3 linked regions of the Diceros bicornis minor genome follow. The protein of the gene in region 2 interacts with the protein of the main gene of each other region in a pairwise test. Links are inferred from orthologs where the notes say so. Each region holds a gene or a part of one and is shown on either strand. Other genes may lie near its edges.

Region 1 (7,524 bases), on a different chromosome or scaffold from region 2:
CCAAAGAGCTGTACATATTTTATATAAGAGATTTTGTACCATTAAACACATGGGGTGAAACATGATAGCTGTTTATTAGGAATGGATTTATTTTTGGACGGGAAAAAGGAAAGTGGCATGAAATAAAAGATGGCCATGGAGATGGAGCTATGTTGGTTGTATCTTACCCATCTCCAAACTGAGTAAATATGAACATATGCACTTCATGTGCAAGTCTAGGGAATAAAAATAAAATGTATATTGTGGAGGTTAAAAGGCCATCCCACTTCATAATACTTTCTAGTCAAGCACAGCATTTATACATTGCTATGCATGCCAAATATTAAAATTTACTCATATCTTTTGATGAGGAAACTTTGCAATTTCCATACTGGTTACTGATTAATACATAGTTATATGCTGGCAGGTAACTACAGGATTTCCTAGGATATTCCTTGACATATATTCAGCTCTTATCTATATTTTAAAATATGGATTAAAAATTTGGAATGTTAGGATTGCATGTCTTGTTAGCCAATCGTTTTATGCAAAAGTATTTATAGCCTTTCTTCCCCTATGTTTGAACTGCTATGACAGTCGGGTACGTACACAGAAGCCATGCTTACAACAGATATACTCCATCAATTGTGTTCTAAGTACAATATGCAATCTGCTGCTATAATGTTACCTCTTAGAAAATGTCTGAAATTCATTTATGGCAGTATTGTAAAATCAGAAAAATCTTTGCTTCTATTATAACATCTAGAGGTTTTCCTACAAATATACAAAAAAAAATGCATAGTGCATATAGTTGTCATCAGATTTAAAATCCCATGAGGTAAGGTCTAGGTCTTCTATTTAGGTGGGTATGTTGCCCTTCACACCAGGTTTAATCTTAAGAGTGCCCAGAACAGTGGAATATGCATGACAGAGGAATATGCATGGTGAAGTGTTAACAAATACTATCTATAATTTAACAGATTGGTACGAAAGCTAACTGTTGAATTCTCTTGCTTTGTAGAAATACTAAAGGAATAACTGTGTAATTAGTTACAACCACAGTAACAGAAATCTGTTTGGAGATTATAGATTAAAACATTTCAGGAAATAGAAACACTGCAGTCAAATTTTTAGGCTAGAAGTATTTTTTATTTCTTCAATTACTTTTGGACTCCCTAGCAACATTTATGGGCAATCATCTCTGTATATTGGGAAAAAATACCAGTTTTAAGAATACTTGCTTTAGGTCTTTTTCTTATCTACTAATCTCAAACTCATTGATTTAATCTTTTTGTTGAAATTTCTCACAAAAGTTAATGCTATCTACCTATATAGTTTGTTAATCCATATAGGAGGCTAGTGGTTGACTTTATAAAAATCCATTAACACTATACAAACTATGTTATCTACTAACGCAGGAAGATTTTTCAGTAGTTTATTAGGGAAACAGTTGTAAAATTGGAAGTCTCAGCTACTAGCATAACTAAAATCTTAGCATGCAAAAAAATAAAAAAACAAAACAGGAAAAAAAGCCATGGAAGGAACACAATCCACTCTTCCCCATCCCCCTCCCTCCATCTTTCTTCTTATATGGAATAAGGGCAAAAACTGCTTTCAATTCTAGACCACCCCAGAATATAATATACTGCTTTTTAGGGTAGCTTCATTTTAAGTCTTCCTCTTTAACAAAGTCAGCAAACAGTTAAGTTATCCTATGAGGCCTTGAAGAAATGTACATGCTCTTTACTAACATTCTCAGTTTTAAGGAAGAAAACCACTATTAATTAGGGATGCAGTTGAACCCAGAGTTCTGGTACAGTTGCTTTGCTTTGCTGAAGGGGGAAGAATCCCCAGGGATTGTGAAAATGGCAAGAGAAACAGGGCAATTAGAGCAACACCCACCTCACTCAAGAAGTGGCTGTGGGATCAAGAGTCTGAACTGGACCTGAACATATTCAAAACACCAGGATTTTTCCAGCCCAGACCCTAATCCCTGGTACTGCCTGGAATAGACTTGGCTTCTGGGGGTGTGCTGCCCCCTAGGCCCCTTGGGTCTCTTTCGCTGGACTTTCACATCCTGGTGTAGTGCCACTTCGTCTTGAAAGGTAGGGGGCTTCCACTTCCTTTCTGTAAGCAAGGAAGATTGGGTACAAGGGAGGTAAAAGGACAAGAGGGGGAATCTGTGAGCAGGGGGAATCTTGGACAACTTAAAAGAGAAGGGATACAAAAAGCTAAAATTTTTAAAACTGTGAATAATATATAAAGTTTTATAATGAAGGCCTACCTTCATTGCCATTTGGCATTTAAATTCTTCAAGAATTGAGAGTCTATTTTAGGGATTGGGCTTTTCGACAAACTGAATTCCTAAAGCTGCTCTTAGCTGAAAAAAAAGTTTGGTACCACTGATTTTGAAGGTCCTCTTTCTAGGCAATGAATATTATAAAAAATAGAATGACACTGCTTTCTGTTTTCTACCCCAAATGTCAGAAGGTCTAAGTAACCTGTCCATATAAAGTTCCAGTCCCTTTACTCTAGAACATTGAGAAGTACATAGGAAGAGGCCTTCAAGGAAAATCAGTTGGAGAGAACTCCTCCCTATCTCCATCCATCAGAATAATCATTAACTCTACAGAAGCAGGTATTGACACCTACTTTATTTCGATCTCCCCCACCCATCAAAACTAACGAAAATGTAATCACTACTTTACAAATTTAACTCAATTATTTACTCGGAAATCCTGTCCCCCAAATTCTTTTCCTCCCTCTTCTCTTCTAACTCTTTTTTTCCTCCAGCTTCTATGGGTGAAAAGGAAAGGTCTAATATCATTTATAGTGGGCTAGGCTTGGGTATAGAAAATACTACAAATTTATTATTAGATGCCCATAAGAAAGCTGTCTCCACATAAACTGCTAATGCACCTACTACCTAAGGAAGTAGCACTTACTCTGATCCAGCAGCCATATCTGAGTAGGATGTATCTGGTGTGGTGACTCCCAGAGGGATTGCAATGCTCATGACGTCCAACACAGCAGAAAGTAGAAATCACGGGGTCCAATTAATGGAGACTGGCCACTCTGAGAGTGGGGGTGAGCTGCGGAGCCTCAACCAACATGTTATGGACATGAGGAAGCCTGCCATAGAAAAGAAAAATACGTAGTAACCAGAGAGTTCTTTAAATTTATCCTAAAGGCTACTGAATATTTTTCCATTTTTTGAACAAGGCTTTTAAGGGATAAATATAAAAGAAGTACAGCAAGGGATCTACACATTGTCCTATGTTTACTCTGTAATGCATTAATATTCCACAAAGAGAGGAAGAAAAAGTTATGCTTACTTTTCATTTCTATTTTAATTTTTCTTTTCTTTTCAGATAAAGGGAAAGTAATTGTCTACATAGCTCATTAATAAGCACATTTCCCCCATTCTACAAATGCTCATCAAACAAAATTTTCTGGCAGCTAAGACCTAAGAAACAAGTCTTAAAATACAGGATGGTTAATAGAAATATCATAGTTTAACTAAATTCTTTAACAATTCAAGATCTTCATTTAAACTTTTTTTTCTATTCCACAAATAAATGCAGTTTTACCAGGAGCTAATGGTAAATTAAATGATAAAATTCCAAATTAAATATGATAAAAGAGATCAACTTGTTTATATTTGATTGGATACAGCTGCTTCTTACTGCCTTCTTTCGTCACAGAATGCTCTTTTCCTTTCTTTTAAACCATTTTAACTATAATTTTGGGAGAAGATGCAATTTTTTTTTTTTTGAGGAAGATTAGCCCTGAGCTAACATCTGTTGCCAATCCTCCTCTTTTTGCTGAGGAAGATTGGCCCTGGGCTAACATCGTGCCCATCTTCCTCTCTTTTATAAGTGGGACGCCTGCCACAGCATGGCTTGATAAGCGGTGCGTAGGTCCATGTCGGGGATCCAAACCTGCGAACCCCGGGCCACAGAAGCAGAGTGTGCGAACTTAACTACTACCCCACCAGGCTGGCCCCAGAAGATGCAATTATTTTAACAACTATATTTGTGACATAATATCCACTGCTAGGTGTGAATAAAAACATAAACCACAGTACCGTTCCATGATAAAGATTAGAAAATTTTGTATGGAAAAGGAGTGAGGATACCTTGAGCTGGTGACCACAACCAGTGGAATTTGGGAACAGAAAGACTCACAAACTACTGAAGTGTAAAAAAGCAAAAGTAGATTAAGAGATTTGGAGGTATGATGCAAAGAGAAAAAACTGTACTTTGCATGATTTTACGTTAGTGGTTTTGTATTAACATTAAAAAACCATTAAAAGGACCAAACAACAAGCATTTTATGTGGGAGGGAAGAAAGAAAATGTGAATGTCAAAGATTCAGGTTAATACAGATTTTTGCAAAAATACTACAAAAAGAGTCATGATTGATATACTGATTCATGATAAGACAAGACAGTAGAAAAGTCAAATGATTATTTATACTAAAAAACCCAAATGGAATGAAAAGTACATGATATTGAGTCAATCCAAGGGATTTAAGGCAAATTTCAAATGGTAGATGATGTGAGGTGCTTGAATCTTATTTTGATATATGAAGCAAATTTATGGGGATAAGAAAATAAATTGTAAACAGTGAATCAGGCCAAGATTTTTAAGGCATAAAGATAAACTACTCTTTCGTGTTGCTATTTTAGAATGACAGAACAGCTATAAACTGCTATAAGCAGTCTTCCCTGGCACCTATACTTTGAAACAGCTAGATCTCACCAACGGATCTAGCACTCTCCAAATCTGGGTGTGGCAATACACCCATTCCAACTTAACTGGAGGTGACATAGTGCTAGACTCGGGACTGAAATGAAAAGAAAAAAAATCTTCCTATCTATTGCTTCCTCACAGCTCATAAAAGAGAAGTGATTAATATAACTTTCTGCCTTTGGGCTAATCTTACACACAGATGTTTCCTTTCCCTAACAATATATCCAAACAGAAATTTAGGCAGTACATCCTCCAAACCTCTGGGAAATTGAAATAAAATCTACAAATGATGGAAGAGAAAATACATATCAAATAAGCCCCAAAGAGCACAGTTAAATATTGGAGATAGTTGGTTACAACTCTTTCTCTAATTTTAGTATGACTGTAGAATTGAAATAAAAAGAAAAAAAGCCCAGAGGTTGCCTGGTTTGATAACCCGATCAGAGTCTGATAATGATCATACCTCCCCCGACCAATATAGGAATCTGAATCATGTGTTATATTTTCAGTAAAGGACAAAAAAAATTACTCAACACCATTAAAAATCCTTTGTCACAGCCATTACTATTATATGCCCGTAAAAAAAGTAGGCTTCTAGATAAAAGAAAACTTATAAACCTAAGCTAATGTTTAAAAGGAAAAGATGAAAAATTTACTCCAGATAATAGCTGCTTAATGAATGAATAAACGATTAATACATTCCTTAATGAAATCCCAACCCATCTAATTTGGATAGTTGATAAATAACTTTAAGAAACACTAAGTAGTTAACTATGAATTTCTTTCATGAATTCCTCCATTTTCCTTTTGTCTAGTTTTACATGATCCTTCCACTCTTCTGATGAAGACAATCATTATAGGTCAGCTTGGCCATCTTGTTCTAAATAATGTTTTCACAATATTGGGGCTTCTTAATTCAAAAAATGATAACAAAACCAAATTTCTCATATAACCCTGAGAGTAGTTCCTTCCTCTAATGACACTCTGCAAAATGTAGCTATTAAAACGTTAACTGAAGAACTTTTAACCGATTGTTCTATATGCAATATTTTCTTATTACAATCACTCTACAGTTTTATAAACCAAGATAATGGACTCATAGTTTAGTTTACCAAGCTTAGTAGTTATAGCAGTTATTAATTTATCACATAGTTTGAAGAGCGTCCTAGAGAGAGTAGTAAGAATTAACTCTGTCTCTAGGTGGAACAATTTCAAGATATCTTTCACTTGTTAATTTGTCTGTCTCTTCCTACCAGAATATAAACTCTATGAGGTCAGGGATTTTTGTTTTATCTTCTACTGTAGTTCCAATGTCCAGAACAATGTCCGGCACATACAGGGTGTTTAAGAAATACTTGCTAAGTGAATTATGATCACCATTATCTCAACATATGATTTTAACATTCATTAAAATACAAAAATTAAAATGAATTAAAAGAGTTTATTTGGCTCAGTCACCTTTTTATAGACCTCTGAATATGAAGTCCCCAAAAATTATCTTCCAGTAGCTCTGAAGACCTAGAAAAAGTTGAGACACAAATTAGTACAGAAAGAACACTGATGGATACAGAATAGGATTCTACAGAAATAATATTTTAATGATAATTTTATGTTTAATTTCTGTAAACATATTGCCTTGTTTACCAACCAATGTTCCACCTAGTACTGTATTTTTGTCCTTTAACCTTTATATCCTGTTTTCCTCTAAAGCCAGGACCTAAATAAAGGGTAGAAAAGGAAATTATCTTTATTTGACTTAAGAAGTGGCAAATACTTCATTATATCACTAGGTAATCCTTCACTTTCCTTCAAATTAGAATTCTCTCCCATTTCCCAAGAAATTCCTCTCTCTCTATCTTTCCTAGGAGATGCTTCTCTTCTCCAGTGACCCCTTCCTAAATTCAGAGGCTTTTCTGTAATCAAATGTCAAATTTACTCTCCAGTCAGACAAGGACCTACCATTACCTATTTAAAGTACAAGTTCATATGATTCCTTCCTTCCTCCCACTCCACCCCACCTATCTTCTTGTCCAACTATAGTAAAAGAGTGACAAAAAGGAGTCAATTCTATTTGTGGCCAACTCCATAATGGAAACATGTGGAAAAACAGAGCCTTAATCAATTTTCCACTCTCCAAAAACGAAAATAAAATAGGTCATGATCCAGTACTTTTGGGAGAAAAAAGTCAAACTTAACATAAGCCAGAATGAGGTATTAACACTTGACATGTTAATATATCATTATATGTGAAAAGAGCTGTTCATGGGATTCCAATTACCAAGCAGTAGAGAGGAAATGTACTCTATGTTGATATTTTATGGATTTCCAATTTATTAAAAATTGGAAAATCAACTATTCTTTAGAAACAATTTTAAAAGAGCATACTCGGGATTATAAAAACAAAAGGTATGAAGGTAGCAGTAAAAAGAAGGAAGAAAAAAATTAAATAAACCAAGGAATAAAAAGTAGACTCCTTTAGCAACAATAAATAAGAAAGATAAGAAATGACAGGAGAAAAGGAGAAATAAGTATATGAGTGTATGGTAGGGGGAAAAATAAATGCATCAGAATTTCAACTTCATTTCAATTTAACTATTTCCAGAACAGTCCATTAGAATCTGCAGGAACACTAACTAGTAAGTTCTTGCATTCAGAAGTAGAACCAGACTGTCTCCTAATACTGAGTACTCTTTTGAGAAGTCACCATTCACATACCGTTTCTAGAGAAAAGGCTGTTAGTTAAAGAGAACATGCCAGAAATGGTTTATAATTACTCCTGTCTTTTTAACTG
Region 2 (7,058 bases):
TTCTGTGGGCCCAATGCACAGCAGGCGCTCAACCGAACGTCAGTTGTAATTATTATTCTCACTTAAAACAAAGAGCCCACACCTAACACATCATTTTCTACTCACTGTGTTCTTCACATGCATGAACGCGAGAATCTCCCGTAAGGAAAACATTCCCCCTTGGGGGGTGAAGTCTGATCAATTTGAACAATATATTTATTTTGGATTTTTTTTTCCATTGACCTGGCTTATAGAAGAATTAGCCTCACTTATTTAAACATAGGAGCCAATTTAAATGCAGACATCTAACTTCATATGTATTATATGGTATTTAAACAAGTCTCCTTAGATGTTAAATCCATCTCATTATGACCGCCAAACTCTTCTAGTCAAAAGTGTTCATTTGTCTATGATCTCCTCTACTTAAAAACATCCATTTCTGTACAAGTGTATCCATCAAAATCTGCAATTTGCTAAGAGAGGATATTCTGTTTTCATAAATCATCGAAAATACACAACAAACTTTAGGATGTTCAACCTATAGTTCGTACCACAATGACACTCTCTTACCTCCTGCAAAAACTTCTCACTCATTTGGCTGAAATGGTGTCCTGGAGGCTTGATCCCGGACACCATCAGTCCAGAACTGAAGACCCTGGGCTTCTGCAGGTCTGGCTTGAATTTCTCGTAGAGGTGGGCAGACGGTTTCAGGTCACCACTCGCCGCCTTCTCCTCTTGGGGAAGAGGCATGGTACATGTGGGCGGAGCGTACGGAAGCCCCACTGGAACCAGCGAAGTGTCCACCTGGCCAAGGGCCTGAGGATTCCTCCTGATGTAGGTGATGATCTTAGGCCTCACGTGCTTGGGTTTGGGCATGACGACGGGCTTGGGCTCTGTCCTTTCCTCTGTTTTTTCAACCTGGTAGTTCTCCTTTCCCTCCTGTGAGAAAGGTACATCCTCGGAACGTACGACGACAGGCTTGGGGATCCCAGTGGGGCAGGTGTCCTTGTCAGGCACTTTCGGGGAAGGGGTCAACAACCGCGCACTGTCGGTGGGAGGTGGGGCAGCCGAGGGTGACCCCGTGTCTACACTCAACACACCGAAGTCCTGAAAACTGCTACTGGGTGGTGTAGGCTGGTGGGTCACATTCACAGTTGTCTCTGGGTGGAGGGGTGCTGGGACATTGAGAGGAGAATCTGTACTTGCTGGGGTACTTTCAGTCTTAACTGCATTTTCTAGACGGTTCCTACTTTTGGCAACAGATGTAATGATCTCTTTGCTTTCCCCTGCTTCTGAGCTGCTGCTTTGAGGGTCAAGGGGCTCAGGGACCTCAGTTCTGCTCTCTCCAATCAAAGCATCTGAAGTGGAAACCGTAGCACTGTCCCTGGTCCCACTGCCCAGCACCTCTCTCCCCTCACTCACATCCAAGGGCCTGCTGTCAGTTGGATCTTTAGGAATAAAATCTACATGACCATCACCTGGTGAGATGCTGCTGGATGCCATTTCACCCAATTTCCTAGCTGCACTTGGTGAATTTTTGCCAGTGGGCTGATTATCAGCAGCTCCCAAGGAATCGGGGCTCTGTTGGGGGGTTGTTTGAAGAAATCCCTCCTCACCCAGGCTGACTGCTCTCTTCTCCTGCTCACCACTCCTGCCTCTTCCCACGCCAACGTGGTGGAGACTGCCATGTGACAGACTGCTCAGTGTACCAGCGGTGGCTTCTTGCTGTGCTTCCCCACATGGCCCCTTTCTCTCTAGGGACAACATACTATCCTCCTCAGGACATCCCAGACCCTCCGCCTGGGTTGACTTTAATTCCTGCACGGCCCTGGGTTGGACAAATTTCAGCTCCGGCCTGGACTCTGCCTTTCCCTGACCTAATTGTGCTTCTGGCTTACTCAGGACTTCCTTTGATGCTGAAGTTGAATTCAGAGCACGCTCTGGGTGGGCAGAACGTGATGTGCTCTTGTCACTAACTTTCGGTACGTGTGCCCCCTCCATCTGGGTCTCTGAGGGGGTGGCCTCCTTGGTTTCTGAGGTAGATGATTTAGGACGACGCAAACTCTTGCCCTCTGAGGTATTGTCAGCTGGAAGCAAAGCTGCCCCTAGAGAGTGGGCTGTCAATGTCCTCTGTGGCCCCTCCCCACCGCTGGGCACATGACAGGGGGCTTCAGGGGAGTCCAGCGGTGCAGGCTGCAGAAACTGCCGAGTCAGGCTCCCAACACGCTCCTTTGTGAGCACGTCCACTGCAAGAGCAGAGCTGCTTGCTCTTTCTAAAGAATGCCTTCTCAATTCCTCATTGTCAAGGGTCTTTGCCAATTTATCCTTGGGAACAGGCCGGGGAATTTCAACATCCCTTTTAGCCAAAACCTCTGGACTGGACTCACCCATAACATTCCTCCAACTTGACAGGCTTGGTCCCTGAATACTCCGAGGGGTCTGCGGGATATGTGTGCCTCTCTCCATTGTGTGCTCTTCATTTAGTTCTCTAGGAACGGTTGGAGAAAACTTAAAATCTTTCAGGCTGGTGGGGCCGGCGTGAGATCCTTTCCCAATGCCCTGAAGTTGGTGAAATTCCTTATTGAAATGGGTGCCATTTCCTGGCTCACTTGTATTTGCATTTCCAACTTCATCTCTCAGGTCACATGTCTCAGACTCATCATGAGAGGAACTGACCTCCAATGTGATTTGATTGGCATTGGTATCCCCCAGACTTAGGATACTCTCGTTATTATTTTTCACTCCATTTCGGTTGTCCCGCAACTGAGTGTAACATGATTTCTTAGGAGCCACTGGGACGCTCATTTTCAACCCTTCAGTGGGGGCTGCTTGCCATGCAGTCCTACTTAATGGAAAGGGGCTTCCTTCAAGCTGCTATTTGATTAATAGGAAATTCTCAAGCTGCCTGTTGCCCCCTGACAATGTCACATTGCGACACTGCTACAATCATTTTCAGAGCAGTTTTAAAACCAAGCATTGTCTTGGCATACAGCAGGATGACTGATCTGCTAGGTTCCTGCTGAATGAGAGCCAATTAGTCCATGAGACCTAGAGAGAAATAAAAATAAATCAGATTAGATCGACAGAGATTCTCAGGAGAAAAAATCATAGTAAACACAGATTACAATCACTTTCATAATATTATTTAATTCACTCTATCCACATATTTCTCAAAAACCTTTCAGATAGGGGCTCCTGCTGGCCAAATATGGGAAAATTGGAACATCAAAATGATTCATGTTAGAAATAGATTATGAAAACATAGTAAATCTTAAAATTAAATTTTAAAAACCTACAAGTTCATACCAAGACTGATTAAAAAGGGTGGAGGAGAAAAGAAGGCTCTTCTTTACAGAATATCAACTAATACAGGAAAAATTATAGAATTAGAAAAAGCATCATTTTGTAGTCACCAGAGTAATAATTATCTTGGGCAAGGGACACCAATGGTTGAAAAATACTGGTTGAAAGGTTGTTTGGGGAACAGGATATTCATGGAATCATAAGGTACCATCCTCCAGATTACTTTATTTCTTACAAAAGAAAAATTTTATCTTTACAATGGAGAAAGCTGGTAGGCACCACCTTAACTAAGTGATCAAATTTACCATGTCACTAGTGGAAACTGACACCACGTGCTCCTGATGTAGGCAGTCCTCAGCACCTATATCACCTATGCAGTATTCTCGCTATGAATGTTCAACCCGAATTTAATCATGAGGAAATAATCAGACAAATTTAAAATAACTGGCCTAAACTTGCCTCCAAAATGCTAACAGATATCTACGAATGATGCGTGATCCTTGACTGGATCTTTGATTTTACAAAAAATTAGCAAAGGATATTATTGGGACAATTACAGGTTTCTATATGGATTGTATTTTAGGTAAAGGTATTTTATCAATGTTAACTTTCTTGGGTGTATAATACTATTGTGATTATATCAGATAATCTTTGTTCTTGGAAGATACATGCTTTTAAACATGACATGTCTTTTAATGACATGTTGTCTGTAACTTACTCTCCAGTGGTTCAACAAAGAGAAAAATATGTGTGTCGGGGGGTGGGTGGGGATGCATATGAAAGAGAGAGAGAGAAAATGCAACTGTGCCAAATGATAATTTGAAAATCTAGGTGATCCATTCTACTATACCTACAACTGTTCTATAAGTTTGAAATTTTTCAAAATAAAAAGCTGGAGGAAAATTCTATCCCAGCCTTCAGGGCCTGCATGATCCAGCCCATACACACCTTTCCAGCCTCATCCTCACTACTCACCCTCTTCCTCTCTAGGCTGCAGCCACACTGGCCTCATTCTTCATATTACCATGTTCCTTCCTCCCTGCTTCGGGGGGGCTTTGCTCGTACTCTTCCATCTGCATAGAATGCGGACTCTTCCCTCAACGTTACTCAACTAACCCCTTTGTATTCATCAGTTTGCAGCATAAGTACCACTTCCTCCAGGAAGCCTTCCCGACCTACTAGCCTTTCCGACCTCCTTCTATAATGACCTTTTATCATATCCCATATTTTCACTTTAAAAAAAAAAAATCAGATGTGCTAGACACTAAAGAAAATATCGTTTAACACCTAGCATGTGTGTTAGGCACTTAATATGTATTTGTAGCATGAATGAATGAATGAATGAATGATGAAGAACAATGTTATTTTTACTCTCATAGGGCTTAAAATCTAACATAGTATTTAAATTTCTATGAAAGTAGACTCACAGATCATCCCTAAACCTCTCAATTCAAGGCTAACATTGTTTTATCCACTACTGTGAATACATTTTATTAGGCACCAGGGATGGGAGAGTTTAAAAGGAACAAGGTTCCGCTCCGTCCGCAATTCCCCCAATGGGGATTCAAAGTTAACAGCCTTCCACACCTTCCCCCTCATTCATACAAAATATGCGAGTACTGAGATGCACATTACGTGGGAGGCTCTTGTCACGTTTCCACTGAAATAAGTTACGTGGCAACCTGCTTGTCTTCTCTTCATCATTGTTTAATATATTATTTCATACATTCAAAAGAATATTTGTGGGCTGTCCCTGTGGCTTGGCGGTTGAGTGCGCGCGCTCCGCTGTTGGCGGCCCGGGTTCGGATCCCGGGCGAGCGCCGACGCACCGCTTCTCCGGCCATGCTGAGGCTGCGTCCCACATGCAGCGGCTGGAAGGATGTGCAACTACGACATACAACTATCTACTGGGGCTTTGGGGGAAAAATAAATAAATAAAATCTTTAAAAAAAAAAAAGAAGGGGGCCGGCCCGGTGGCGCAAGCGGTTAAGTGCGCGCGCTCCGCTGCGGCGGCCCGGGGTTCGCTGGTTCGGATCCCGGGCGCGCACCGACGCACTGCTTGGTAAGCCATGCTGTGGCGGCGTCCCATATAAAGTGGAGGAAGATAGGCACAGATGTTAGCCCAGGGCCGTCTTCCTCAGCAAAAAAAGAGGAGGATTGGCGGATGTTAGCTCAGGGCTGATCTCCTCACCAAAAAAAAAAAAAAAAAAAAAAAAAAAAAAAAAAAAAAAAAAAAAAAGAATATTTGTGTATTCATACATGTATATACATTCATGTATACATAATACATATACATATATATATATACACACAAATGTATGTTATAAAGCAAAATAACATAATGAACACCTAGAACCAAGGACTGAGAAATCACCAATAAATTGCAGTTACCTCCATGTTCCTCTCCATCCCAGCTCCCAACTTTTCTAACTTAATTTTTCACTTGACAGCCTATCATGGACATCCCTAAAAACTCAGCTGATAGAGCTCTCTTTTCCTTTCATTTCTTTTGCATCTATTACATAAGCATGTATTTTTTACTTAAATGAGATCATTTCCTATAAGCTGGCTTTTTGTCAGTTTTTTTTCTTTTTATTTGCCCCTTCTTCCCTTAGCCCAAGACACGCTAACATCCTGGTGCAGGTCTCTCCACTCCTTTCCCCATGTCCGTATACTCCTATCCAGATACACACACCTATAGCAGTGTGTGCTTTTGTTTCCCACCACACTGCTCTTCTGTTCTCTTCATGTCACACTCACTATCTTCATCCTCCCACTTCCTTGTGTCTCCCACATTCTTTTTCTCCTTCTCTGTCTTCTTCCAGGCCTGCCTTCAGTGAACCAGGGACACCGCCAGCTCCAGCCTTGGCCCGATACAGCCCTCAAGCCTAAGCAAGGTGCTGACACTCTGCTCCCAACCTCGGTTCCCTGACACAGAAGTAATTCTCAATGAGCCCACATTTCTTTCTTTACTCCATTTTAAAAGTGTTTTCCTTGAAGATACAAATGTCCTCTGGGGACAAATATAAAAAGCATGTGGGCAAATCAATAAGACAACAGTTTAAAAGAACACTGTGCTCTCTGGGTCAGGAAACAGGTATCCCAGAAAGTCAGGGAGAGCAAGGAATTCCATAGACATGGGCCATCCACAGAAAGTGAGCATCTCTGATTCTCTGTGGGCAAAATTTAAAGCATGAAACCAAGAGCCCTCTTTGGTTTGAACTATTGAAGCTGGGAGAAAGAAAGAAATGAATTCTCAGCAGTGACAGCAAAACCAGAGCATCATAAACCACAATCCACAATCTGACTGCTAGAAAGTGACAAACAGGTGCAAAATCAGTATCTTGCTAGAAAGAATTGTATTTTAATTTTTAAAGAATTACATAATAAATGTTCTTTTTCTTTGTCAGTAAACAATAAATGTTACATTGGTAAGGGGATGGAAAGGTAGAACCTCCGAGGGCCCAAGTATTATTCTCAGCACTAATCCATATCTGCAAAATTTAATGTTTAAATTATAATTAATTTTATTTAATCTTAAATTTTAAGTTAAGTTATTTAATATTTGTAATGGCCTCCAGAGATAGATCTTAACATCCCCTTGCCTTTTTTCTTTCTCTCCAGGTAAGGAAGTGAAAGCACAGAGAGGGTAACATTCCCAAGGTCACACAGCTAAGAAGTGGCGGAGCAGGGACAGAGACAGGAAGGTAAAATCCAGGCAGAAAGTGGAAGCTGTAAAAAGAAACGCTGCCTATTGGTGGAACTGTATAGATCAC
Region 3 (7,102 bases), on a different chromosome or scaffold from region 2:
TGTTGGGAAGTTGAGAGGATGAGGAGCTGGCCAAGGAGCTGGAAGGAACGTCCAGGGAGGAAGAAGGAGACCCGGCCGTGTGGTGGAAGGCCAGGAAGGCGTCTGGAGAGCTGGGCAAGCTCGACCAAGCGGGGTGAGGCCTGGGAGCTGGCACTGGACCTGCCTGCATGGTGGCCAGCGACCTTGGCAAGGGCGGGGCCGGTGGAGTGGTTCAAGGACAGAGGAGAGGAGCCCAGAAGTGGGGTGGTGGCTTGAGGTGGGGTGGCGTCGAGGCCCCTGCTCATTTGTTCACAGTGAACGAGGGGCTTGGACAGGAAGGAAGGCAAACTACGGCCAGCTGGGCCCGCGCCTGTGGAAGTCCCCTTCTGGGGGCTTCTATTTTCTCAGCGAAAGAGGAAGAAGGGACCTGCCGCTGTGGAAGGTGTCAGAAGGTTAGGGAGAAAGAGGCAAAAGCAGTCGTCTGCCCAGGAGAGAGATTCCACTCCAGAAATGTGGCAGGGTTAACCCTCCCAGCCAAGACCTGTTTGAAGAGGGAGCACATCAAGGGCCCACCTCCAGCCAGCCCCTCCACTCCCCGCCCTGCAGTCTTTTACAAATGCAGTCTTAGCACGTGACTCCTCCTCTGAGATCCCTCAAGGCTTCTGCCAGGCCCCTCCCCTCCCCAAGACCTTTTCAGCTCCCCCTCCCCCACCCTTAGGGCCCCACCACAAAGGCCCTCTTTCAGTTCCTCAAAGCCAGCTCCACTCCTGCCCCAGCCTTTGCCCTGAACTTCGGCCTCAAGGCCTGCCCACACCCTGCCTGCCCGCTTGGCCCAAGGTCTCCCAGTGGCTCCAGTGGTTAAGCCTCTGGCTCCCCCTTCTCCAGGGCCTTGTCCATCTCCACTCCAGTCAGAGGGCCTTCTCAGCCGCCAGCAAGGGCTCCAGTACCTTGAACCAGAGCCTCAGACCACCTGCAGAGTCAGAAGAGAGAGACAGGGCAGGGCCACCAGGGAGACCCCATCAGATGCCCCAGATGCCCCAGCTAGCTGGCTCTGGGGTCCAGACTCCACTCCTCGTCCTAAAGACAGCCCAGCAGAGGTCCTGGCCCAAAGCCCAGGCTTCTGGGTTCTACTCTCGGCTGTCACTCACACCATGGCAAAGTCTCCTGACCTTCCTACCAGAGTGTCTGTTTCCTCATCTGCAAACTGGGAGCAACCACAGTGCAGCTGGGAGGCTTAAATGAGAAGAGGCACAGACAAGGGCGATGATGCCACCGAGCCTTGGCAAGCAGCAGTAGCCACGTGGCTGTTAATCCGTTTAACACAATGCCACACCTACAGCAAGACTGCCCCGTGAGATACCCAAGTCAGGCAGGAGGCAATGCACCCAAGGCCTCCCAAGGCCAGACTCCCAGTTAGAGAGTCCCTTCTCCAATGGAATTCCAGTGCAGGCTTCTGGAACCCTGGGCTCCCCCTGGAGATGGCAGAGCCCCTCCCACATGTACCAGGCAGGCGTGGGGCTGAATGAAGGCCCCAAGGATGGTTTGAAGTCTCTTCTTCTCCCTCCTCTCCTCAAGGCAAGGCCCAGCAGCCTTCTCAAGCAGTAAGGACCTCAGCGTCCCCCTCCTTCCTCGCCACAAGCCTTCCCGCCCTCACCGTGGCCAGCTGGCTAAGGTCCTGCTGAGAAAACTGGCCAGCCCCACTCAATACTCCAAGCCCAGGACAGGCCTTCCCCTCACATATTGACTGCTGCTGAACAGCAGCTTCACCTCCACGCCCCCAAACACCAGCAGGGGGTTCGGTGAGTTAAATTTCTGGTTCCATCCCAAATGGCCGGGGTCACAAGCTCTGGGAGACAGAAGGCATCTGGGAGCCACTTGTCACTGGGCTTCAGTCCTAGTCCTGCCTGCCACCCACAGGCCCCAGCCACGCCCACCCTGCACAGCGGAGACATTGTCTAGCCTGTGTCCCTTCAGCCTTTCCTCGATGGTGAGGGGCAGCAGAGGGCACAGGTCAGCTCCCCTAGTCCTGAGAGGCTCAGATGCCCCCATCCCAGGCTGAATGTCCTGGCATGGAATCACAGGTCCCTGGGACCCTGACAAGGAGGCTTCCTGGCCTCCTTGTGGAGCCAAGGGCCCTCCACCTACCCGCCATGGCGCTGGTGCTGCCGTGGGCCCAGCAGGAGCCGCAGTACTGGGGGATGTGTTGGTTCCTGGTGACACTGACATAGTTGACGCCATCCACGTTGCGCCAGTCCCAGCTCTTGGGCAGATCCAATGGGGACAGGTACTCGTGAGGCCGGGGGTATGTCCTGGGAAGAGACCACCACCCCCAGAATCATCACTGAGGCTCCTGGTGCCCTCTCCCCTCCCCAGAATGAAAGGGAATGGGGGTGAACACTTTCATCACTAGGTGAACCCATGTCACACTGGGAGACCCCGCCTTCTCAGAATTGAAGGAGGCAGGGGCCCCCGGAAATGCAGGAACCACACTGCTCCCCAAGCAAAGCCCCAAAGGCCAGGGAGGTGGGCCGGCCTGCTCCCGGCACAGGAGGGGCTTGTCCAACCACCAACACCAGCGCTCCCTTGGATGCCAAAGAGCAAGAGGGACTCCCCAATCACAGGGGCTGGATTCCACCCTCAAAGGTCAGAGAGGCAGGGGCCTGGGTTCCCGGCACCCCAAGGGGGCGGGAGTGCGCGCCAAGCCCCGGGAGATGGGCCAGCCCCCCAAGCCAGCCGGACCTGCGCCCCAACTTGGACAGCTGGTCCCCCCGCAGGGGCCGGTAGCAGCTCTGGCCCCGGCGGAAGTAGAGGTTGGCCCGCGCCGAGCCCGCCAGCAGCACGAGCAGCAGCAGCAGCCGCGCGGGCCTGGACGACACCATGGCTCCCTCGCCGGGTCCTGATCCGGGTCCCGATTCGGATCCCGCTCCGGGTTCTGATCCGAGTCCTGATCCGGGTCCCGATTCGGATCTCCCGGGCCCCTCCGCTCCAGCCCGTGCCCCGCCGGCCCTCGCACTCTGGACCTGGCCCCGCCCGGCCCTTAAGGTGGCGGCGCCGGTGCCCGGACACACCCCCGGGGCGGGGCCGCCCGCTCCTGCCCCCGGTGACCCCGGCCACGCCCCGGCCGACCGCCGCAGGGCCAGCCCCGAGGGAGCCGCCGGCCCGGGCCTCCGTTTCCGCCTTTGGGCGGGGGGCGCCTGAACTCGGGGTCACGCACCAGGCCTTGGAGCCAGACCCCAGACCCGACCCACCACTAGCCACTAGCCACTAGCCACTAGCCACGTGGCTTGGTGGCTTGACTGAGTGCATCATCGTCAGACCTTCAGGAGCCCTGGGGCAGGAGGTGGGGGCTGCAGGGTCTGAATGGCCCTGCCAGCCTTGGATTCTCTGGACCCTCGGCCCTGGAGAGGTGCCACCTGTCCCCGCATCCCACCTGGGCCCAGGCCTCCCTAGGAACGGGCAGGGATCTCCCCAAGTCCTGAGCTGTCCCACAGAATTGTGCCCTGGCCTGGCTTTCTGAACCCTATTTCCCAAAGGCCCAGGCGCTTTCTGGATAGATGAGTACCCTTCACAGAAAGGGAAGGTGAGGTGCCCCTAGAAAATGCCCCTAAAGAAAGTTACACTTGGCACATAAATCTTTACTTCTACATTCCAACTTCCAAAGAGCTGGAAAAGGTTTCTTGCTAACAAAGCTCTTCATAGTCAAATGGGGAACTGAAAGCAGAAGTGGGACCCCCACGCCTTGGTTTCCTAACAAGATTTCTCCCCTCCTCCTGCCCAACAAAATGGCTTTCCTTTTCTTGTAAGACAAGGGTCCAGGCGTTTTGTTCTAGGGCTCCCGCAGGCCTTTGCTGTAGGGTCCTAAGATGAACTCAGTGGGCACTCGGCACCTTCCTGCGGCCCCTCCCTCCGCCTGTGCCAGGCTGGCAGTCAGAAATCAAAGTGGCTGCCCCGTGGACTTCCAGCAATTTCCATGACCACCTTTGGAAGCACTGAGGTGACCACAGAATCCTAGCAGGGCTGGGAAGCCTGTCTGGCAGTGCTTGTCAGAGCAGAGTGAGGCTTTAGAAGCAAAGGCCTGGCATTGCTTTATCAGCCCAGAAGTGTTAGTCTTGTTCTTTTTTTTTTTTTTTTTTTGGTGAGGAAGATTAGCCCTGAGCTAACATTTGTTGCCAATCCTCTTCTTTTTGCTGAGGAAGATTAGCCCTGAACTAACATCTGTGCCCATCTTCCTCTACTTTATATGTGGGTTGCCTGCCACAGCATGGCTTGATGAGTGGTGCCTAGGTCCGTGCCTGGGATCTGAACCTGCGAACCCCACGCCCCCAAAGCAGAGCACGTGAACTTTACCACTACACCGCTGGGCTGGCCCCTAGTCTTGTTCTTTTTTTTTTTATTTATTTTTATTTATTTTTTATTGATTTATTATTTTTTTTTTATGAGGAACATCAGCCCTGAGCTAACATCCATGCCAATCCTCCTCTTTTTGCTGAGGAAGACTGGCCCTGGGCTAACATCTGTGCCCATCTTCCTCCACTTTATATGGGACACTGCCACCACAGCATGGCCTGACAAGCGATGCGTCGGTGCGCGCCCGGGATCCGAACCCGGGCCGCCAGTAGCAGAGCGCGCGTTTAACCTCTACGCCATGGGGCCGGCCCCCCTAGTCTTGTTCTTAAAAAGCTATCGCTGAGGTAAAGTGTAGACACGGGCTCTATCCACTGATGTGTCTTTTATCTTCTCAGGAAGTCAGCTCCTGAAAACCCTTAGGGCCAGTCAGCTCATCGTTAGGAGGTGGATGGGGTGGGACCCGGCTGCCACCTGAGCCTGTGAGAAAACACTCAGGTTTGAGCTGTAGGGACTGGTTTGCTGGAACGGGTGTCCTGGGCCTGGCCTCAAAGCTTCACTCTGGGTGTAAACGGCGTGGCTTCGAAAGGAGTTGCCGGCTGGACCTTCCCCTTCTCACGTCAGCCCTCTCCTCCATGTCTAAGGTGAATCGGCCTTGTGGAGAGGAGTGAGGAGAAAGCCTGCAGGATTGTCCCTGTGATGTCATCCAGGCGGGATGTCTGCCTAAGAGGTGGGTTTTTGGTCTCTAGAGAAAAATCTAGAAGCTCATGTTGCTGAAGAATGACGAGAGTGGTCACAGTATTGCAGGGTAACAAATCTTGTGGGGACACCCAAGTACCTATAGACTGTCAGGGCCCAGAAGGTGCAAAGTCCAACCCCGTGTTTTACAACATGGGAAACAGGAGGCCGGGAGGGGGAGGGCTCGTGCTAGGCCTCGCCTCTGACGACTGGGCCGTGGACTCCGGGTGCGCTTGATATGGGGTGAAAATGCGCTGCATACAAGCTTTGCCATTCTCGCAGTGTTGGGAGACCTGGATGCTCTGAAGATGCCCTGGGGTTCTTAGAAGAGGTCTGCCTCGTGTAGAAGGTATTAGGACAGGCAGGGCCAGCTTCTCGGGCATGTGACCCCTGCAGTCGCACAGGGCCCCGAGCTCAGAGGTCCCCGCTCCTGGTGTAATGCTGCACTGAACAGGGCCCCACGTTTTCATTTTACTCCGGGCCTTGCAAACTCTGGAGCTGGGCCTCCAGCAAGGGTCAGACAGATGGAGGGAAGGCAGGCAGCATTCATCCCCGTGAAATGCAGGCTACAGAGAGGGAGGGTGACGTTTTCCGGCTGGTAACGCATGGGACATCCAGAGCTGACACGTTGTGGCATAGTATTTCTCTGACATAGGAGCAACTCAGTCGGCAGGAGGAGGGGAGGGAGTCCAGACATTTGAAACCACAACTTTCAAGGCAAGGAGAAGTGAGGTCCAACGTGACTCATTGCCTCTTCAGCCCCTGTGACGGGTCGGACACGTGAACCCAAGCGGCCCTGGGGCCCTTTCTTCGCCTCTGAACTTAGCTGTGGTCGGCGGATGCGTGCCCTCCTGGCTGATGGCTCTGAGAGGCGGACTGGCTGCGTCACTTCAGGGGTGACTGCCACTGTGCACGGATCCCTTTCAGCAGAGGTTCCTAAATGTGTTCTGTTGAGGGGCCTGCCACGGACCGAACCAAACCCAAATTCCGGCCTGCAGACTGCGGGCAGAGCAGAGGCGCGTGCATGCACTGCCGTTAGGGAAGGGCATCCGGCCCAGGAGCTCTGAAGGGCACTCGGATAAACTTAAAAGGCCGCTGGGACTAAGGAAGAGGAAGGCTGCATCAAAGAACCTGCTGGACTGGCCACCCCCAGCCACCTGCTCGTCTCTTATCAGAGCAGAGGCACCTGGGCAGCAGCTTTGGGGACTTTGCAAACTTGAAAGCTGTGTCCCTTCCTGACACCACTGTGCATGCCTGTGAGGGCATTTTGTGGATAAAGACTCATCTTCTCCTCTGGCCTGGAATGGAGAAGGCTCAGGGCAGTGCCCTGCAACCGGTTCCCCTCTGAGGCCCCCCTTGCCTGAGCTTAGCTCCAGCCTCTGTCTCGTCAGCTGTCATGATCCCCGCTGTCCAATCTGGGGTGAGTCTAGTGGGGCCTTGAGACTCGGAGTCTCCCCTGAAACCACTATAAATTTCTCTACATGGAAGCCTACCCAGTGCCCTGGGCTTTTCTTTGTTTATGTAACTGAGTCATACCCGCTCGCCAGTGGTGCTTAAAGGCAGAGACAGTGACATTCTAGAAGACTCTCCAGTATGTGAAATGTCTGTCTTCATTTGATCCTTGGCACAACCTGTGAGGTGCGTCACATGCTATCGCCCCATTTTACAGGTGGGAAGACTCAGGCTCTAGAGCAGTCAGAGACCTGTATGCCCCATGAGGCTTGCGGGTGGCAATTGAATCTAGTCCCCCCTTTCTTGTTTTACCCCATAAAGTCTCCTGGCAAACACGTGATCCAAGGCCATGATACAAAAGCCTACTCATTTCTAAAAATTAGGTTGATTTTTCCCCTCATCCCGATAAATAACACACACACACTTTAAGGTGAGGCCAGGGCCGGCCCATCTCCTAAACTGAAGGAGAAGACGACAGGATGAGCTTTCGTTTACTATGGAATTGCCTCCAAGTCCTCTCTTTCCTTCTTCCTTCGTACCCTGTTGTCTGGCTCCCACCCTGCAAGCTGCAGACATTTCCTATTATTCC

What was found.
Region 1: the proteins of MTUS2 (region 2) and SETD5 interact in binary tests that used the Homo sapiens proteins (3 or more experiments, as listed by UniProt). The link is inferred for Diceros bicornis minor from reciprocal best matches to the Homo sapiens genes MTUS2 and SETD5.
Region 3: the proteins of MTUS2 (region 2) and CTSZ interact in binary tests that used the Homo sapiens proteins (3 or more experiments, as listed by UniProt). The two-hybrid records come from large-scale screens. The link is inferred for Diceros bicornis minor from reciprocal best matches to the Homo sapiens genes MTUS2 and CTSZ.

The regions. Positions count from the first base shown.
Region 1 is NC_080741.1:82,473,311-82,480,834, reverse strand, and holds the start of SETD5 (histone-lysine N-methyltransferase SETD5), read right to left. Parts: upstream 3,006-7,524; 5' UTR 2,996-3,005; coding exon of another isoform or gene 2,925-2,995; intron 2,107-2,924; 5' UTR 1,882-2,106; intron 1-1,881.
Region 2 is NC_080748.1:12,171,030-12,178,087, reverse strand, and holds the start of MTUS2 (microtubule-associated tumor suppressor candidate 2), read right to left. Parts: upstream 3,007-7,058; 5' UTR 2,785-3,006; coding exon 550-2,784; intron 1-549. UniProt on the Homo sapiens protein: Binds microtubules. Together with MAPRE1 may target the microtubule depolymerase KIF2C to the plus-end of microtubules. May regulate the dynamics of microtubules at their growing distal tip.
Region 3 is NC_080758.1:4,674,468-4,681,569, reverse strand, and holds the start of CTSZ (cathepsin Z), read right to left. Parts: upstream 3,006-7,102; 5' UTR 2,859-3,005; coding exon 2,719-2,858; intron 2,289-2,718; coding exon 2,125-2,288; intron 1-2,124. UniProt on the Homo sapiens protein: Exhibits carboxy-monopeptidase as well as carboxy-dipeptidase activity. Capable of producing kinin potentiating peptides.